2 linked regions of the Oreochromis niloticus genome follow. The main gene of each other region encodes a partner of the protein of the gene in region 2 in a complex. Links are inferred from orthologs where the notes say so. Each region holds a gene or a part of one and is shown on either strand. Other genes may lie near its edges.

Region 1 (9,749 bases), on a different chromosome or scaffold from region 2:
GTTAAACAAAGAAAAGGATGGTGAGAGGATCCCAGCAAAGTTAGGACATTACATAAACTCTACAATGAGATTGTTCTAACCGACTATATCTCACGGCTTCCACAATCCACAAACCAACAAACTCACCAATTAAAAGCTTTTGGCTGGAACCTTGACTAAATTCATTCAAAGAATACACGGAAGTCTCAAATGAATAAAAAGATTGGGGTGACATATTCAGTTACATGAGCTGGGTGCTTGACTTGTAGCATGTGCTGGTGTAGTTTATGCAGCGCCAGCTCGGGAATTTGCTTTGTTGTCCCACAGGCTACTTAACATCAACCACAATTAAAACAACAATTTAACCCCCCAAAAAACACCAGCTTCCATATGTGTAACCTGCAGTTTCAGTGAGGCTGAAGTAAATTAATCTTCCAACCTGTCAGAGCCGTATTCAAGCCTTTCAATCCATGTGACTGATGTGATTTCAGTAAACTGAAGAGAACTTACCAGGACAATGACCCAGACAGAGTAGTACGTGAACAGCACGAGGCTGAAGACAACAAGACTCATGCCAGCGGCTTGATCCACTCCAGTAGCCTGAAAACACAGACACAGAAAAACTGAGCACGAGGACGTCGGTGTTAAACATGGAACTGGTGGTCGTTTGAAGCTTTATGCAGACTAATGACAATGTGGTTAAAAGTTTAAAGCCAGACGTCAGGCTGTCGTCAGAGGTGAGACACTAAATTTCCCATAAAGCAACTGGAGAGATCCTCCTTGTTGTTACTTGGATATTGAGCACACATCATGACACCGTCCTCCCCTGGCAAACATTAGCTTTGTAATTGTCAGTTTTGGCCAAATTAAAAATACTCATTAAGACTTTACATCACATCCTGACCAATAAACTGTGATTCTTCCTTTTTAAAACAAATGGCAAACAGCAACACGAGTAAATAACAACAAAAATTGCAGGTTAACTTTTACTAAAGAAAATTTGGATCAATATAAATAGTTATCTCTATCTACAGGCACTTTTATCAGGGTTCGTACGCTTTTTTCAGGGTCAAATTCAAGCACTTTTTAAGCACTTTCAAGGTCCCTTTTTAAGCTTTTCCAGCACAGCACCCCCCCCCCTCAAAAAAAGAATGCATGTTTCAATTTGCATCACTTCAGTACAATTTATCTAAATTGAGACAAAATTTAAAATACAAGTAGAAAGTGATATTTTTGACTGTAAAAACCACAAGCATGTTTAACAAATCATTTTCATAACTTGAAATGCAAATAAAAATTGGACATTTTTAAAAAATATGAACAAGTTTTGCAAACAACAAAGTTATATGGTACTATTTACCTAAAAATGCAGCCAAGGTCAGACGTTTTTTATATAACCATTCAAAACTATTTACAGAACAATCAGGTTTGCTGCATCAAATAAGAAGGCACACAAATTATTTATGCAACTCCAAAAAATAGTTTGTGTCCACTATAACACAGATGAGAACAGCACAGGGATAAACCTGCAGGTCTGACAGCAGGTGTGTCGCTCAGCGTTTATACTGCAATCTGCCTTTGGTGGCTTTTTTGCAGCAACTGTGACGTTCACTAGTAGAACTGACACAAAACAAAACGACTACACTACACACTAACTACACAAGATAACACACTAACTTGAGACTCCAAACATGATAAACATCACAAATCTTTCACGTATCAAAACCATTGGTCAATGATCAAAACTCTCTCTCTCTTTTTCGCTCACTCGCTCTCTCTTCCCAACAACCAAATACCACGTTGCCGTATCATTTTTTGATTGGTCGACATGGTACATTTTTCCACCAATAGGGAAGGAGTGTTTTTTCTTTTTTCACTCACAAGCAAAGCGTGTTTGCTAGCGCTCTCCATAAAAAACGCCGTTTTTACCATAAACGCCACTGTTTTATTCAGAACCTCCCCCCCCCCAAAAAAAAAAAAACATCGGTTTTACGTGACCTATCAACACAATTTAAAAACTGGTATATAGCTTGAAGTCCGCACGTTCGACCCAAGTTGAAATGGAGACTCTGGGTCCGTCGACCCCAGAGGGTTAATCAGAAAGCCTTAAGTTAGCTAGTTATGTATCGGGCTAATGTTTAAAGCTTTCACTTGAGTAAATTAACTCATATTACTGCTAAATAATGTTAGCTAAGTTCACAGCATATTCCGTAATAGCGCTGCCATACTGCATCACACTCAGTGCATTTCAATCATTTCTCCAGCGAGTTTGATAGCTAGCAAAATAATAATCATAATTTTTTTTTTTTTTTTAAAAATAGCATGTGTAACGTACGCGTACTGGAAAATTATTTACTAGGACTCACCTATCATGCGACTGGAGAACGTAAACTCCGCCATTGTTGTTTTCCCATCAAACACTCATTAAAACAGCAACCTACAGGTATGTTAGCGCACTCATCCCCGACTGTCCGAGGGAGGGGCGGGGTCACATATTGAAACAGAGGCAAGGCAGCCCAGGCGGGGAAATTTTGCTTTTGCGTCTCATTTTATTTCTCTGTCTGATAAGAAAACAATTCAATCAGATAGCTATTTATTGTGAATGAAATACAGTTACATTTTCAAGCACTTTTAAGCACCACATCTGAAATTCAAGCACTTTTCAAGCCTTGAAAAGACGACATTAGAATTCAAGCATTTTCAAGGATTTCAAGCACCCGTACGAACCCGGTTTTATAAACCCACATTTCAAAGGAAGTCATGTAATCAAAATAACGAGCATCAATCAACAAATAAATAAAAACTCAACAAGACTTTGATTCAATAGATCTCGAATCAAAAGATCCCCAGTATGAGGTCACGAAAACAACTGTTCCATCTACAAGGTCAATTGCAACTAAACATGACAACCTTTGCAGCTAAAACAACCACTGACACTACAGCAGCTTCAACTTCATCATTCATCTTCAACTAAATCAACCTCTAAACCAACTAATCATCTAAATTCACCATTGCAACTACACCTGCAACTAACTCTGGTGCTCCAGGTTAACTGGTTAGATTTGGTTACATGTTCTACTCTCCGTGTTCCAGATGTTGGATCTGCAGATTTGTCTCCTCTGTCTGTCAGTGAGTCTGCAGCTTGACAAGATTAAGGACCTTGGCAAAAAAAAAAAAAAAAAAAAAGTCTCCATCTGCAGCTTGTGCAAATGCACACACAGAGCAAAATTATCTTCAGACAACAAATAAATGATTTTGATAAAAAATAAATTAATCATAAAGTCTTCTGCCTGGTCTCGTACCCCTGTCTTTCTTTAACATAAATAACGAGCTGACGTTTTCTCAGGACACCACCGATCAGCTCAGCTGACCTCCACTTTCCCCTCTGAGTGACTGATCTGAGTTAAAGATGACAAACAATATTTAAAGGAGGAGCGATGGATGCTGAGCAGCAGGTCAGAAACACACACTTAAACCTACGTCCTGTTTCTCAGCTGACTGATAAGCTGCTAAGTGCTTTGTAATTCAGCTGTGAGTTTGGTGAGTTTTCTGAATATACTCGGATCTTGAAAGGATGATTTTTAGTCATTTCAGCAGATCAGTGGCAGAGCTATATTACTGAGGTACACAGGTACTAATCCAAACAGTATGGGTCATTAATTCTATTTATTTCATATGCAAACAGCCCAAATTCTCATTAAAGCAACAGGTTTGCTTATAAAGTGGTCCATCGCTCCATCCATTTAAATCCTGTTTGTCATCTTTAATCCAGATCGGTCACTCTGAGGGGGAACAAGCTCCAGCAGCTCTCCACTGAGGAAACAAACTACATTTACTTATTTTGTGCACAATATTGTCATGACGTCACGTTGTATTGCAGCAGCTGCCCAAGTTAAACTGTGACTGTCACCAGGTAACGGGGGCGTGTTTCCTGAATCAGCAGGTGTTAAACAGCTGACAGGTGAACAGGATCTACGCAGGTAAACTCGAGGGTCTTTGTTTATGTTACGAAAAGAAAGAAAGAAAGAAAGACAGAGCTAGGAGACCAGACGGAAGACTTCATGGTTTGTTTATTTATTTGTTTAAATTAAAACAATTTAAATGTTGTCTTAGGATAATATTGATGCGTGTATGCATTTTGCATCTTCACACTAACTCCATCAGCACCTGCCAATTAAACTAACAGCTCGAGCTACAACACTACCTCCACCGTAGCACGTCGACTCTGGCAGCTAAACCAACAAAAGCATCTGCAGCCACCAGGTGTTCCCCCACTTCCACAATAAGATGCATTAAAACGAGACAATAGAGAGAATCCCCTTTAATCTGCAACGGCACTGCGCAGCCGCACCAAACTTCATTCAAACCTTCACCGTTTCAGTTCATTTGATAATTATCAAAGATACTCGGTCTACTAACTTCATATACACGCAATATACGAATAAAAAACCACTGTCTGTAATTTCGGGGCTGAAAAATGTTACCAGGTCGGTTAACCTATAATCAGTTTTACACCAACCATGAAGCTAACTGCTAGCATGAAGCTAAAAGAAATAAATGTCACAGCCAAACAGCAAAGATTAGCTCTGAATCTAATTACGCTTAAACTGACGGAATTTCATTAAAGTATTAATTTGTCTCTGCTCGTTTATCAGCTGTTTAAAAGTAATCACAGCAGCTTTCTTACCATTTCTCATCCACAAAAAGGTAATGTTGTTATTTGCTGACGTAGCCTGGTGCTCTTCTTCCTGTTGAGTAATCCGGTTGATACGATTCATCTAATGGTCTCTGATGCCCTCTCGTGGTTCTTCTTCTTCTTCTTCTTCTTCTTTATAGTGTTTATTGGCAAACAGCAAAATGGTGCATTACCGCCAACAACTGGTGTGGAGTGTGGACCAAAATGACCAAAAAAAAGAAAAGAACATTGAAATCCACCCAAACAAATGAGTCTGCCTTAAAAACCAAAATATGGCCTGAAAACTTTCACTTTTAAAGTTCTTGCAAAATAAATCAACCAATTCCAGTTTCCAGTATACTGTCAAGCTTTTTCATCAGTTGTCTTCTTTCAGCATCGTATTTCTGACAATGCAATAAAACATGTTCTGTTTCCTGTCTTCTACTGCAGTCACAGTCCCCTCTACAGTGTTTCCCTATTAAAAGCAACATGCTATTCAAACCAGTGTGTCCAAATATAAGTCGATATATAACCATCTCATCTTTCCTGTTTGTTCCTGTGCCTTTAATTTCTCCTGTTTTCCTTTGGATTTTGTAAACACCCCCCCCGCCATTGCCTTTGACACCCTTCCTTCATTTTGTGCCATATTCCACTCTTGATCTCCATCCTAACACTGATATCCATATCCACCAACGGTCTCTTTGTAGCTTCCTTTGCCGTTCTGTCTGCCATTTAACTTCCCTTAACTCCATGATGTGCTGGTACCCATAAGAAGGTGACCATAAGCCCCATCATAGTAACTCTGAATAATGTTTGCTGAATTTCTATCACAATGTCCGGTCTGCAGTATGAGTGACTGTCTTGCAAACTAGCCAATGATGAACTCGAGTCTGAGCATATCACATATCTTAGTGGTCTTGTATCTTCAATCCACTGGACAGCTAACAGTACTGACACCATTTGATTACCATCACTGATCCTTTTCCCTACCTTGATATTAAATTCAGGAACAATAAAGGCTATCCCGCTTTGGTTGGCTGTATTCTTTGATGCATCTGTGTAGATTTTGACAGAACTGTAATACTGATTAATATATTCCTGCACTGTATGTGAATACAGAATAATATTCTTTTTGTTTAATAGTGTGAAATATACTACTGGTTCAGGGAGTATCCAAGGTGGTATTGCAGGCAACAGTACTGTTTGACTTATGTTGATCTTGTCCAAATTAAATTCAGCTGCTTTCTGTCAACCCAAAGCTCTTCAATTCTCTTTTCTCTTTTTCCCAGCATGGTTGGAAAATAGTTTTTGTTGGATGATCTTGACCATGTCCTTGTAAAGCCCTCTCGTGGTTTACCTGCTACTGCAGCTTCATAGATCACAGCATCACACACGCATGTTTGAGGCAAATAACCATAAAAACAGCGAAACAAAACAAACGAAAAAATTCATTTGGTTGACACGTTGTATTCAGAATCTTAAAAAATATTTTATAATCACCCCACAAACCATAAAATACTGTTGACAGACATTATAAAAATAAATTTTTGCTTTATTTTAATGTGAATAAAAGCAGAATAATTAGATAATGATTTTATACCTGCACTGAAGTGGAAAATAGTAAGGAGCAAATGAAATGCTACAACAGAAAAATTCTTATTGTCCTTCAGAAAATTAAAGCTCTTTGGTTTCAGGCCATTTAAATATTTCAGTAAGTTGAAGTGCCCCTGGTTTTCTTCGAGATGCTTTTTATGAGATGAATTTTTCCCCCATTCTTGTTCCATGTCTGGAGTTTGACAGTAAATCTAGAAGTCAAAACCAGGCCTTTGATGTCCTGATGGATCATCACAATAACAGCTGACATGTTTTATTGCAGAGCAAAGACAGCTTTTAAGAGGAAGAACCACTCTGTGAATTCTGTAAACAGTGATGTGAGGCCATCCATCTGAAAGTTCAAAGTTGAATTAGAACTGGACTTTTCAACACTACTAATGATCCTTAGTACAACAAATCCACCAAAGAAGGACTCAAAAAGAAGAAAGGAATGAGAACCAGATTCCTTTCATTCCTGGAGCATCAAATAACAGCGTTTTGGCATTGCTGCGTGCGCGTTTCAGGTATGCACAAGGTGTCCTTTGGTGCTGTCGTGCCTAAACCAAACAACTCTCAGGGCCTAAACCTAACTAGTGAGTGGCAAAAAAGGAGGTCAGTAGGTGAGAAAAGAGAGTCCAAGTGCAAATCAAGAAGGTCCAATCAGGTCCACAGTTCCCTGGCTGCAGGGTTGATCTGTACGGTGAGTTTGTGGCACCCTGGATAATAATGCCTTATTCAAAGCACAGATCTAGAAGTAAAGATAATTTTTCCATTTTTTTATTTTTTTTTTATTTTTTTTTTAAAAAGTGGATGAAAGATTTTGGCAGGTTATCATCAGAGACTGGTGGACAATCATGCAAAACGCCAAAAAGTAATTTCTACTAAAGATGGCAAAAGTGACTTGTGATGTCAGAGGTGTAGTTATTCTTTTCTATAGAATAATTTCACTTAAAACGATAATAGTTTTGTTTAGCTGATGATCAGAAAGTCAAGTTTCCCTCTTGTTGTTCAAATATACCACGTTCTCCTGAAGGCATCAGTTCAACTTTTGTTTGTCTCCATATTTTCATTGCATGTACTTACATGTACGTGACTGTATATAATAGCGCTTGTGTTAAGGTGTAGTATCACATGACATGTGCAAACAAACAGATGAATCTTCGGCAGTTAAAGAAAGAAGAGACTTTGACAGTTTATTTGGTTTTCATGTTCATCACAACTCCTCTGTTTACATGTAGTTATTAACAGGTCAGATCATCTGAATTCTTGAAATATTTCCTGGTATTTTAACACAAGGAGTGAAAATATGTGTGCATGGAGTTAGAAAGCATTTGAAAATAAAACAAAACTGATTTTTCTTTCTCAAAAAACCCAGAAATGCACCAATTTATGCAACAAAATTATTTTCACCCAACATTAATGCTTATATTAGATATTTTATATGCATTTATTATATTTCTACACATTAAGTGATTTTACCTTTAATATAAATACGTTTTAAAATATGGTAGAAAGTGTTTTGTGAAGTATATATTCCCTTTACCAAACCCCATCTTGTTAAATCAGTACCACAGCTACCAATGCAATATAACCCTGGCCCCAACAATTTAATTTCAAATAATCAGAAATGATAATAATAATAAAAAAAAAAAACATTTCACCACATGCAGAAATAGAAACACTTGCTTAATAAGATCACAAGGTTACATATGGTCAAGTACAAAGAAAGAGTAAGTATTTCTAGAACAAATCACAGTGGCAGACAGATCCCATTACTGCATACTTTCCCCAGTAACCGCAGGCTTCACTGTAAATAATTACTGTTTAGTCACATCTTACCATAAAATATAAGCTTTTACACACAGATCCGTGCTGCAGACCAGCCTGCTGGTCTGGAAATAAAAGGAAAATAGACTATATGGTTACCACATCACACATTTCGTACACACACACACACACACACCAATGTGGACTGTTAATGGAAAATATGGCAATAAAGGTATGTGTATAATTATTAAATAGTACAGGTTAAAGTTGGGGATCACTTAGAAAAGTGCTTTAAAAATTCATGTATCATAAAATTAATCAGAAATGTTGTACATGTATCTATGACAGACTGTTACCTAATGCAACAGTGTGTACTACTCCCTTCAGTCTGACTGTTATGGTTTCCGTCTAATGAAGCTGCAGTCTGAACACCTGTCACCTCTTTTATCCAAACACCCTTATGGAGTTTGTCAGTATTGAACCTCTTTCTTTTCTGGTGACAGCCAGTTACTGTGGAGGGAATAATACACATGACTGCATGAAAATGTCTGCCTGTACCTCTGCCTGTCCCATTACTGAAAATAAACACAAAAACAAAAACAGTTTTTGCCAGATAAAGTGAGAATTTCAGGTTATTATCTAAAGAATCCAAGTTACTAGTTCAAACGTCTGAGAAAATAACTTCTTCTTTCAGTGACAGAAACAAGCTTCCACATTCGACAAATTATGAAAGCTGTGGATAACATCCAGAGACTAACTACTTTATCTAATGATTAGTAGGCTTTTTAATATGATAAACTTTCAATGGTTAACACAATATCGGAGGGTTTATAATTAACAGTTTCATTAATCACAAATTTTTATATAAAATAGTTAACATGAATTTAATGTTATATTAAATAAAAAAAATCTACTTTATTTTCAGAAAGAAGGACTTTTCTAAGCAATCCCAAACTTTTGAGGAGTGGTGAACCTAACAAACCTCTAGATGTCCCAAGTATCCAGTACTTGCTTACAACTTACTTACACTTTTGCATGACTTGATGCACCAGAAAGCTTAAAAAAACTGTCTTTTATACAGTACATCCTTTCATATCAGTCAGAGATGCATGGCCCGCATGCACATCTTGCAGCATGAACATAATCACAAATGCACAAATGAGTCCCGTGGGGGGGTGAAGATCTATTGTATACTGTCAGTACTCACACAACAGAGGCTTTGTGCTGCTGCAGCTGTGGGACTGACCTCACTACAGCCAACACCAGCCCACAGTATCACTGCTAGCTCAACACGCTAAGTCTGCACAAGCCTTGCAAAAGCAATGGGGAAAAAGGAGTTTTACTTTCCTTGCACATGCACAAAACTTAAACTGTCCAAAGCTACAAACTGCAAAGAGTTCTGATTGAAGTTAATATTTTTGGTAAAAACACTGCTTTGTTTGTCAGTGTGAAGCCAGAACGTCAGCAGGCAGTGAGCAAGTAAAACGACATTAACTATGGTTCTAAAGGTGAATGAGCGCCTAAATGCATGGATGCATAAATAGGCAACATTTGCTAATGCTAATATTGTGATTATAGCCATTTTTCCTGCTAATGTCAATTTCTGTTTAGCTTGTTGTAATGTCACTTGTTGTTAAAGAGGATTTATTTCTTACTTTCTGTTAAATATATAATATTATAATGTTACATATTTTACAAAAATGAGGTAAACACTGATAAGAGTAGTTCCTGTGAG
Region 2 (10,390 bases):
GTTAAAAATCAGCTTTGCATTACTCCAAGTCTGTGGAGTAATACAAGTCAGTTGTGGTGAACAGAGAACCGAGTTTGAAAGCAAAGCTGTCGATTCACCGGCTGAGCTACGTTCCTACTTCACCTATGACCATGAGACCAACAGAGTGAGTCTGAGGATACAAGCAGCAGAAACGTGCGTAATGATGCTGCACCTCCACATTAAAAGGAGCCAGCTGGGGTGGCTCAGCATCTGACTGGGATGCCTCCTGGCTGCCTCAAAGCTGCGGCATTTTGGGCATATCAAAGTGGGTGAGGTCCTGCAGCAGAGCCAGAAGCTGCTCGATAGATTATCTCTCTCTGCTAGCTTGGAAGGATCTTAAAGCTCCTCTCAGAAGAGCTGGAGGAGGTGCAGAGGGAGGCCTGTGCATCTCTTAGATTTCCATTTGTTAGCCTCGTCTTGGATAAACGGTAGAAATAAAAAAATCTGAGACTCTCTATTACTTGTTTTCACTATACAGCTTTTTTAAGCTTTTCCATCAGTCTTTATTAACAGATTAACACACCCAAATGCTCAGATCTAATAAAAGTGTAACTACCTCGAACTTAATCCATGCTTTGATTTTTTAGAGGCATTTTAGTCTTTTGCACAAACAGGACTTGAGCAGATTGCTTGAAATGAGTTTTTTTTTTTATTCTATGTGAAGGTTTTAAAATGCATAAACTCACTGAAATTAAAACACGCAAAGTCGAAACCACTGAACAAGAATCATCTCGTGCAGAAACAAACGGTGAAAGAAGGCGCGGCAGGATTAGTTTGTGGTTTATTCGTCATGAATTAACTGGATGTTTTGTGCCGTTTCCAGCTGGGGGAGGGCAATCTACGATAAATCAATCAGCTGATTGATCAGTATATAAAATCTCTCAGCTGTAGCTTCCTTCCTCTTACCGGATGTTACAGATCCACGTCCACAAGGCGAGCAGCCAGCTGATGAGCATGCACAGCGGCACTGAGGCCTGTTTAAGCAGCTCCACGATGATGCTGGCCTCCCGGCCTTCAGACTGCCAGTGAGTCGACTTCAGCGGCCCGTCGTCATAGCGATCCAGGAAGAACAGAGGCTGGCTGCGTGCCACCGTCTGGAACACCTGCAACAGGAAGAGCAGCAGCATGTGAGAGATCACCAGCTGCCCACATCAGGGATTGGACGCATGTTGGTGGAGCTGATTTGAGAGCTTTGCACCAACATGGACACATCACAGCTTTTTTCTCCTCTCTACCTGTTTCAGCTCAGACGACGGCTCGGTGTTGGGGTCAGGATCTCCGCTCTCAGTGGGGTGGAGCTGCGACAGCATCACCTTCCTCTGCTCATAGTGGACAAAGATCACCTTCTCCTCCTCCTCCTCATTTTGCTTTTTTGCTTCCTGCTGAGTTTCTTGCCCATCTGAAAGTTATTAAAATCAGAGCACAGGAAATGCAACTTTCAAATTAAATAAAGGACATTTTATTTAAAAAAAAAAAAAAAAAAAATTAAAAACAGAGACAAACTCTTAGATAAATAAATGAGATAAATAAATAAATGAAAGACAGCTGTGAAAAAGGAGAACTATCATTTCAGGCTTAAAAGAATGGGAGGAGCTAAAGCCGCTTAGTTCAGACAGGATGAATTGCTAAGCTGTACCGATGCCCTGTTTAAGATAAATGAGGATTATTTTGAGCTGAGAATCATGCAAAGCTACTCTAGCACAGTCCAAAATAAAAAAAATGTGGAAAAGAAAAATCCAAGGAGGAAGCAGATTCCAGTCTGAGGATCTTACTTTGGTTCCGGTTGACGACCTCACAGATGAAGCCCATCTTTCCCATTTGGCGACTGACTTGGAGCCAGCGCTGCTGGGGGAAGATGGTGCTGAGGTCCCTGAGGAAGCTCTCCATGCTCTCCTGACCCTCTTTAGGTAAACTCCAGGAGCCGAGTACCGTCAGCTCCACCCCGCTCTGGGCCTGCATCTTAGAGACGAACACAGAGGAAGGATGAGGGACTGAAGTCTGGCTCACGTTGCTGAATGGATTAATCTGATCATCTGCAATCCAACTAAAAGTTTTCCTCTGCATTGTGTTTCATTCGAAACACAAAGGTGACACCTACTGGACAACTAGTGCCCTACAAAGACTCAGCTCCCTCTTTATAATCACCAACCTGCTGGATGTACTGTTTGACCTGCCCGGGTATGAAGGGGTAGTGAATGACCGCCAGCACCACGGCTGAGTCATGACCAGAGATCCAGCGGCCCACCAGCAGCCCGCTCTCCGCCCGGTTACAGCACTGTGGGAAGAAAATCTTCAGCACCATGACTGCACTGTGGCTCAGAGTCCAGCAGCTCTAATGATCTGAGGGAAATAAAACAAGCAGAGGTAAACTTTAACTTCAGTTACAAGTTTACAGTTACCGCCCTGACGGAGAAATCCTTCATCACAGATACGCGTGCTGATTAGTGCGTGCAGGTCCCTCATTGGTGTCCACACCTCAGTTTGAGACACTCGTCTAACACTGGAAAACTCACTGCCAGCAGCAGATATATTACAAAAGTCAAACTTGGAAATCAAAGAATTCTGAAATACAATTTATGTGAACATTTTACAACATCAAAGATGGCGGTAAAAGTAAAGCATCGAGGAAAAAGCTTTTAAAAAACATGGATTAAGCCTGGACCTGTTTTCAGTGGGACACCTTCACGGAATACTTCTCTTCATTTAGGAACAGGTCTAATCCATGTGTGCGAAACAGTCTGCATGTGTGTATATACACAAGAGAAACAGTAATCAAGCACGAAATACCTGCCGAGGAGACAAAGAGGTTGTTTTTCTTAATGAAAAATATCCCTGCTTTTCCAGTATAAGCGCTACCGCAGGAAAACCACTCAATTTTCCATTTTTTAATGAAGTTTGGCGACAGAACGGAACAGGGTTAGAGACGGCTGTCCTCGTTTTTTGCCCTTCAATCAGAAATCAGATTGGAGCACCACAGGAAGCCCCGGGGCAGGAATGCCATTGATTTCCGAGACCACGAAGCCGGTCAGCTGCAGTTTTATCTGCAGTGTTATATAGAGTAACCGCGGGAGCATAAAGAAATTACCCAACACGTCAAAGAGAAGAGTGACACCCCACACTGCTGCTTTATTGTGTCCCCAAACTGACAACCACCTCAAAGTTCTTCGCATTTTTCATTATTTTTCGTTAAAAGTGTTTTAAAATCAATGAACTGAAGCTCGAAGAAACAGCGGAAACATCAAACTGGCTAACATCACCGCGGAGACGAGACATGAGTGTTAAAAATGCACCCTTTACCTTCTTTAACACGAAAACAAGAGTTCACCTTCCCTCTGCAGCTACGTACGAGCCGCCGGAGCCATCTTAGTTGTTGACAGTCCGTGCGATAAAACGCTCCGGAGAGAAACACGCGTTAATGACTGTGCTGTGTTCCTCTTACTGCGATTAGATTTCAATTTTCGAAACAATTAAAAGTCTCACATATTTCAAAGTTTTTTTTAATTCATATTTTAAATTTATATTTTAACAACTTCCTTAAACAGTGGTCTTGCATTAATTTGAAAGGGAATTGTTAATGTTATTTTGAAAAGTCACTCTATTAGTTTACATTTCTTGTTGTTTTCTTGTTATGCTGATAATAGTTTGATCTGGATTTTCTGAATTGTAATGTCTGAATGAAGGTATTGATCCATCAGGGAAAACCTTTCAAACCAAAACATCACAGAACAATAAAATAATCAGTTAAAGTCAACATGTAGTTCTTCCTACTAATAATTCCAGTTTACGCTGAATTTATAATGTATGCTTTAAAATTACATTTTACCACGTTAACAGGCCTCAGCATTGGTCACAAGACGCTCCTCTGATTTTGAAAACAGTAATTCGTGTTTCTGCTAATCCTTTTAAAATTAATTTATACGGTTATTTCCTCTATGAAAAGCATTCTATATTCATTGTCTTCATGTATTCTTTTTTAAAATAATAATAATGTATTATAATATTATAACAACATTTATAATTTGCTTGGAAGGAAAACTTGTATAGACCCAACAGTGAGATTCAAAAAAATCCACAAATAATCAAAATCGTTAGTTTCTCTTAGATTCTTTTTTTCTGTTAAGAAAACCAAGTGAAATGATCAAACTGATGTTTAAAAATAATCAGCTCATACTCACCAGTAAATGCTCAGTGTGCTGGAGCTGCTGCTGTGAATGCACAGTTGGTCCAACTGAAGAGATTTTATCTGCGGCTGCAGTGACACAGCAAGAAAAGAGCGGGAAGATTCAAGGCCACAGCAGCAGATCTGACTGAAAGCTTCTCAGATATCAGCAGATATCACAGGTTCCTAAATGAAAATGACCTTTTATTCATCTCACCGAGCTGCTGAAGCTGGCATAAAGGAAAGATTCAATTCAATAAGAACTGCAGCTGGACTTGAACCTTGAGCCTCAGTGTTAAAATCCACTGACAGACAGAACCAGCTGAGCTCTCCAGCAGCTCTGATGGATCAGAAATTTACTCTGAGGTTACAAAACATGCATACGAACAAAACAGACAAAACCTCCTTAAAACAAAAGTATACATGATTTTAATTCAGAAAACTCTTACACAGAAGATCTTTAAAGCACAAGATTACCTGCGGGAGAAGTGGGTTGTCTGGAGGTTTGATCTCATGATACAGAGGAGAGCCACAGGAATGGCAACCTTTAATTTTGACCTTAAAAGTAGAAAAACACATTTGCTGGACTTGAATCCTGAACCTTTTAGCTAAAATATGATGAGACCATAATCAGAGCACTCCAGCATCTCTGATGGTGATGATGTCCAAAGACCCTCCAAACTAAAAGGAAAAGGAAAACACACAGAGAGCAACAGAAACTGTATAAAAAGGTTAAGAAAAGCCCCAGAAAAAACACACACTCTGGTTCAAAATGAAGGTAAGTTCCAATTAATACAAAACATTACATTTAAATAAAAAAATGTTCACTAATAAAAATATACAATAATTTAAAAGAAGTGTGTAATATGTCATGTATGTTTTACACACATGCACTTAGCTCTCTGTAGCTTTAAAAAAGGTAGACTATGCTCAAACCTACAGATAAACTTCACTACCCAGAGGCTCTAGCGAGAGACGGTCGCGCAGGATTATGGGTAAATAGGAAGTAAACAAATACACGTGTAAGATGGCGCTTTCAGAGCAGTCCTCAGTGCAGGGTTCAGTTAGAGAGGTTTTAAAGGAGTTCCAGGTGTCGTTTTTCGCTATGAGTCGGCTGCCTTCGTTTCCCTGGACTGTGAGTATGAGACTGGCCGAACTTCATTCAGAAATCTGCGCATTAGAGCACCAAAGCTGGCCACAAACCCGCTGCCTGTAAAACACGAGTAAAGCAATGAAATCAGTCAGGGGACCCCCCTGAATAATTCGGCTGAGCCTGGTTCTGCCGGAGATTTCTTCCCTTTAAAGGACATTTTTTCCTTTCCACTGTCGCCCAGTGCTTGCTCATGGGGGTCGTCTGATTGTTGGGGTTATTGTAGGGTCTGCCTTATAATATTAAGCTCCTTGAGGCGTGTGTTTTGTGATTTGGCTCTATGTGAATGACTTGAATTGAACTTAAAATGTGACTTAAACCTCTGTAATGTCCTCTGTATAACTTTTATCTGCTTACAGTTTGTAGAAAAAGACCTTCAGAGCAGCGGGTCATCAGAGCTCATTTCACAGGTGCTGAAACAGGTGAGTGTTCCTCCATCGTGCTGTAATCCTAAAACAGCTCAGCTTCGTTAGTGTAATGAACAGTCACGTGTTTTTACAGACGTGTCTTCATCCCCTGTGCCGGAAGTTTGCACCTTCAGTCAGATACAGGAGGCTGTTTCTCTCCGAGCTCATCAGACGGGTAAGGAGAGGTTAACTCTCAGATTATTAGTTGAGTTTTTTTCCCTCTGGACAGAAAGATGTTGAAATACTCGATCACAGAGTAAAACCCGGCTGTGTGCTTCCTGGTTTCTTCCTCCACAGCTGGAAGCTTCAGGCTGTGAACCTCTGGATGAGCTGTATGATGCTCTGGCTGAGGTGGTGGGCACTGAGGAGACCACGGAGTGCTACAAGAGCTACCTGCTGGTACTGCACACAGGAAAACCCTCAGCGTCACTGTCACCTTTATATCAAATTATTTGTTTTGTGCCATAAAAATATCAAGATCTAATTTTTGGTCTGAATCGCCCGGCCCTACTTTTGCCAGCTGTTGCTTGCTGGAGTCTTAATTTGAAGTGCAGCCATGTTTGTGTCCCGCAGCCTGCTGGTGGCGCTGTGAGCTTGATGGAGAACATTGCTCTGATCTCAGAGGGGACCACCGGGCTGGTGACGTGGGAGGCGGCTCTTTACCTGGCGGAGTGGGCTCTGGAGAACCAGCAGGTCTTTGCTGGCAGGTAAGCTGAAGGATCTGCAGGTTGTCGCCCTCCAGGTGGAGCCTCTGCAGCTTTTAAATTTTCTCCTCCTCCTTCAGGACGGTGCTGGAGCTGGGCAGCGGCGCGGGGTTGACGGGTATCGCCGTCTGTCGGTCGTGCAGCCCAAAGCGATTCATCTTCAGTGACTGTCACTGCAGAGTGCTGCAGAAACTCAGAGACAACGTCCAGCTGAACGGGCTGAGCGAGCAGACGACCCCAGCGGTCAGCGTGGAGAAGCTGGACTGGACGGCAACCTCAGAGGAAGAGCTGAGGGAGATTGGGGCTGACATCATCATCGCCGCAGGTCAGATTTATGGAGCGAGATGGCGTGGACACACATTCACACACCTCAGTCTGTTCCAGCTTTTATGGAGCTCTTGACACTCTGCTTTCTCAGATTCCTGTTGTTTGTTTGTCGTGGTGCAGACGTGGTGTACGACCCTGACATTGCAGGAAGTCTGGCGAAGCTGCTGTCCATTGTCATGAGGTGTTCGTCTGCTGAGGTTCTCCCTCAGGTCTTCGTCTGCTCCACGATAAGGAACCTGGAGACGTACGGCGGCTTCAAACAGCAGCTTGGTAAGACAACGCTGAGGAGGAGGAGGCTGTGCTGAAGATAGTTCAGATTAATTCAGACTTAAAGCTGATCAGAGTCTGGTTTACTTAAACCTAACGTTCTGCTGTGCCTCTTTGGCTCATGCTAACGTCACGTTATCGACCTCACGCTCGAGTCTGGCGGCGGAGTTTCATCAGCGTCACACACAAAAACGTGTTTGCTGCCTGAAATGAACAGTAAACATCACACGGGGAAAAATACTGTGGTTTGCTGTAGTAAGTAGTTCTTTAACCAGCTGTGCACAGTGTCCACAATTCATGAAAGAAAATGAAGCAAAAAGAAACTGGGACAGCTCACAGTAAACACTCAGACGTTCCAGTGTGGACAAAACGAGCCTGCAGAGAGAAATCTGGCCAGATTTGATCCTGGATACTTCCTGGTTACAGTGGGAATAAATAATAATAGTTGTTTTTGAGGCGTGCTTGGGGAACTATGAAGATGATTTTATACAGAGTGCAGGACCTTGGTTTGTATAAAGCATCTTGAATAAAGTCATTATTTGTTTGTTTGTTTTGGCAGAAACTGAAGGAGTCGGCCATGAAGTGATCCCAGGACCTGTCAACCATGTGTTTCCTTATAACAGACAGTCGGCTATAGAGCTCATCAAACTGTGCAGATGACACGGGGGGAGCATGATAAAGATTTTATTTACAAATGTACATCTCCATCGTCATGACAACTTCCTTTGTACATTCAAGTGAAGAAGGAAAAACGTCAGGAATAAAAAGAAGACCTCAGAAGACTTCGGTCTTTTCACCCGCTGATCCATTTAAATTTTAAATGTACATTTATCATAAAACACCCAAGCAAACAGTTTTGGTCCTTTGCGCTCTCACTCTGCTGTAACTGGAGCTCATATCATCCAGGCATTCACTGGATACTGGACTCAAAGGCTGGGCCTACTTTATTCCATGAAAAGTGCTCACCCGGCATACGAGGAAAAAAAGGCTTGTTTCCATGGTGATGTCTACTGCACGTGCCCAGTAGGGCTTAGAAAGCGAGACTTTCATGAATAAAAGAAATGGTTTTAAAACAGCAGCACTGTCTAGCTCTCTAAATACAGCCAAAGTTATCTCGGAGCAGTGATTAGAGGAAGGACGTTCTGGTCCCAGTTGTCATCCCAGCACTGTCCCCTGCTGGCGCGGAGGTTCCTCCTGAAGGTTCCCAGTTTGCCGTCTGAACTGGGAAAATCTGACAGGAGAGCCTGGAAACATAAACGTTCAGCATTTATGAGAAGGTTCAATTTCTGAAAGGTGGTGACTCCTAATCAGAGACTGTAAGTAAAAGATGGAAATAACTGCTGCTATATCACTTGTTTCTTATTTGGGCTCTGAAGCCTCATTCTGAGCGTGTCGATCACCCCGTTTGGTTTTTTTGAGGCTAGAAGAGAGAAGGTGGAGTGCTAAGGTATCAGCTAATGCTAGCTAGCTACCATGCTATATAAATAATTAGCTATTAACTATTAAAATCCTAGAATTTCACTCACAAAACTGTGGCTCAGATTTCTTGGACAGTCTGTTAGTACAGTCGCCTCACAGCAGCCATGTTATTGGTCACATGATGTTATTAAAAATGCTCCAACAGCACAAACACGGTCCAGAGGTCCAGTTCAGGGACTCCAGTTAGCTGAGGTGAAGCCCAGCAGACAGCTAGCAGCTACAGCCGCCTGTGTCACCCTCTCATCACAGATATGGCCACTTGACTCACACTTCAGAACCCACAAAACCATCTTTTATATACAGTCTATTCTTAAATCAATCGTGTTCACTTTCAGAGAAGCATAACTGTTGGTAGATATCAGAGTTCATATGAGGTTCTGCCTGAATCTTTCTCCTGATCATGTGACTGGTTTACAGGCGTCTCTCACCTTCAGCTGCTCGGCGAGCTCTGCAGAGTCTTTGAAGATCAGCCCGTTCTCCTCGTGCTTCACCAGCTCATCCAAACTGGTGAAAAAGAGACCGCAGAGTCAGATTTAGGAAGCACAGTCTCAGAGAGGGAGGTATTTACAGAGGTCACTGATGAGCATTTTCCTTTGCAGCCAGAGGAGTCGCCCCCTCCTGGCCACTAGAAAGCATGCAGGGTTAAGAGGTCAGCTCACCAGTTGAAGTGGATGGCGCAGACGGGGAGGCAGCAGCCAAACATGTCCACCACCTTCATGGGCAGATCCAGACCGCTGGACGACTTGTGGAGACAAACACCCAGATCTGCTGAGCCTGGACGACAGAGAAGAAAACTCCTCCAACGACCTGCTAAACCTTTGTGCGCAAACACGAGTGAGACTAAACTGGTCGAACAGACAAAATAAATACTAAAATACCTAAAAGCAGAGGGTAATCTTCAGCCTCCAGCCAGGGGGTGCAGATCTTCACGTGCTCCAGGTGCAGGGAGTCGATGAGCTTCATGTAGTGTTCCTTCTGAGGACCCTTACCTGCACAAACGCACAAAAACACACAGAGTGAGCGGAAACGTTTTCTGAATAAAGGAAAACTCAAAATTACTGGAGGTTCTAATCTGTAAGGAGCGAGCTGGACTACCTGTGATCACGCAGAGTAAAGGTGGTAAGGAAGCTCCTCCCTTTATGAAACCTTCGTACTCTGGTGGGAACAAACAGGCGACAGGTGAGGAAACACGTTTCATGGATTTTTTTAAACTTTAGTTTCTGAAACAGCAGGTCGCACCTTCGAGGGCCGTCAGCAGGATGGAGAAATCTTCGTCCTCTGCAGAGAAAAAAAATATCCTGAATCAGTGTTTGCAGCTGAAGGTGCAAAATAAATAAAGTGAAACTGGCTGAATTTGGAAAATTTTACATTCTGTTTGCAACAGAAGCTGCAAACAGAAACCTTCAGTGAGCGTCCTCGCACATCCCGATATTCCCCGCATCGTGTTTGCGTCAATGACGAGGAACGCCGGGAGTTTAATTCCCTTTTCCCAAGAAAAAAACTCAAATTTCATCTTTGACAGCAGGATTTATTATTATTACCTTTATTTTCACACTGAGATCTCTTTACCCCGAGATTCTCAGCAGGACTTAAAGTTAAACCGTCGCTCCCAAAATCCTTTCCTGTAAATCCTGAACGGGCCGAGGACGCCGCTGGAGCGGAGGTCACGACCTCCAAACAGTAACTTCTGTTTTGTTTCTATAAATTCAGACGATTTATTCCTGATCATTAAAATATGATTAAAGACCCTGCAGTGAAGCTGCCTGTGTGTGTGAGCCGCTGAAGGAAAGTAAAAGGTTACGAAATTAAAAACAAAAGAATATTTGAACTCCTGAGATGAACGACTTCATCGGAAATGTTCGAACAGCAAACGCAA

What was found. The genes of interacting proteins can lie anywhere in the genome.
Region 1: pigq (region 2) and dpm2 share a complex: the UniProt entries of both Homo sapiens proteins name them as parts of the glycosylphosphatidylinositol-N-acetylglucosaminyltransferase (GPI-GnT) complex. The link is inferred for Oreochromis niloticus from reciprocal best matches to the Homo sapiens genes PIGQ and DPM2.

The regions. Positions count from the first base shown.
Region 1 is NC_031972.2:34,764,490-34,774,238, reverse strand, and holds the start of dpm2 (dolichol phosphate-mannose biosynthesis regulatory protein), read right to left. Parts: upstream 4,820-9,749; 5' UTR 4,670-4,819; coding exon 4,667-4,669; intron 580-4,666; coding exon 490-579; intron 1-489. UniProt on the Homo sapiens protein: Regulates the biosynthesis of dolichol phosphate-mannose. Regulatory subunit of the dolichol-phosphate mannose (DPM) synthase complex; essential for the ER localization and stable expression of DPM1.
Region 2 is NC_031969.2:32,537,703-32,548,092, reverse strand, and holds the start of pigq (phosphatidylinositol N-acetylglucosaminyltransferase subunit Q), read right to left. Parts: upstream 4,277-10,390; 5' UTR 4,197-4,276; intron 3,448-4,196; exon of another isoform or gene 3,319-3,447; intron 2,362-3,318; 5' UTR 2,324-2,361; coding exon 2,171-2,323; intron 1,981-2,170; coding exon 1,794-1,980; intron 1,421-1,793; coding exon 1,257-1,420; intron 1,125-1,256; coding exon 928-1,124; intron 1-927. Other genes in the region: protein-lysine N-methyltransferase EEF2KMT, read left to right, coding at 5,208-5,315, 5,690-5,752, 5,832-5,912, 6,035-6,136, 6,311-6,444, 6,522-6,766, 6,889-7,038, 7,595-7,695; alg1 (chitobiosyldiphosphodolichol beta-mannosyltransferase), read right to left, coding at 8,145-8,279, 8,943-9,018, 9,174-9,288, 9,393-9,503, 9,610-9,669, 9,754-9,792. UniProt on the Homo sapiens protein: Part of the glycosylphosphatidylinositol-N-acetylglucosaminyltransferase (GPI-GnT) complex that catalyzes the transfer of N-acetylglucosamine from UDP-N-acetylglucosamine to phosphatidylinositol and participates in the first step of GPI biosynthesis.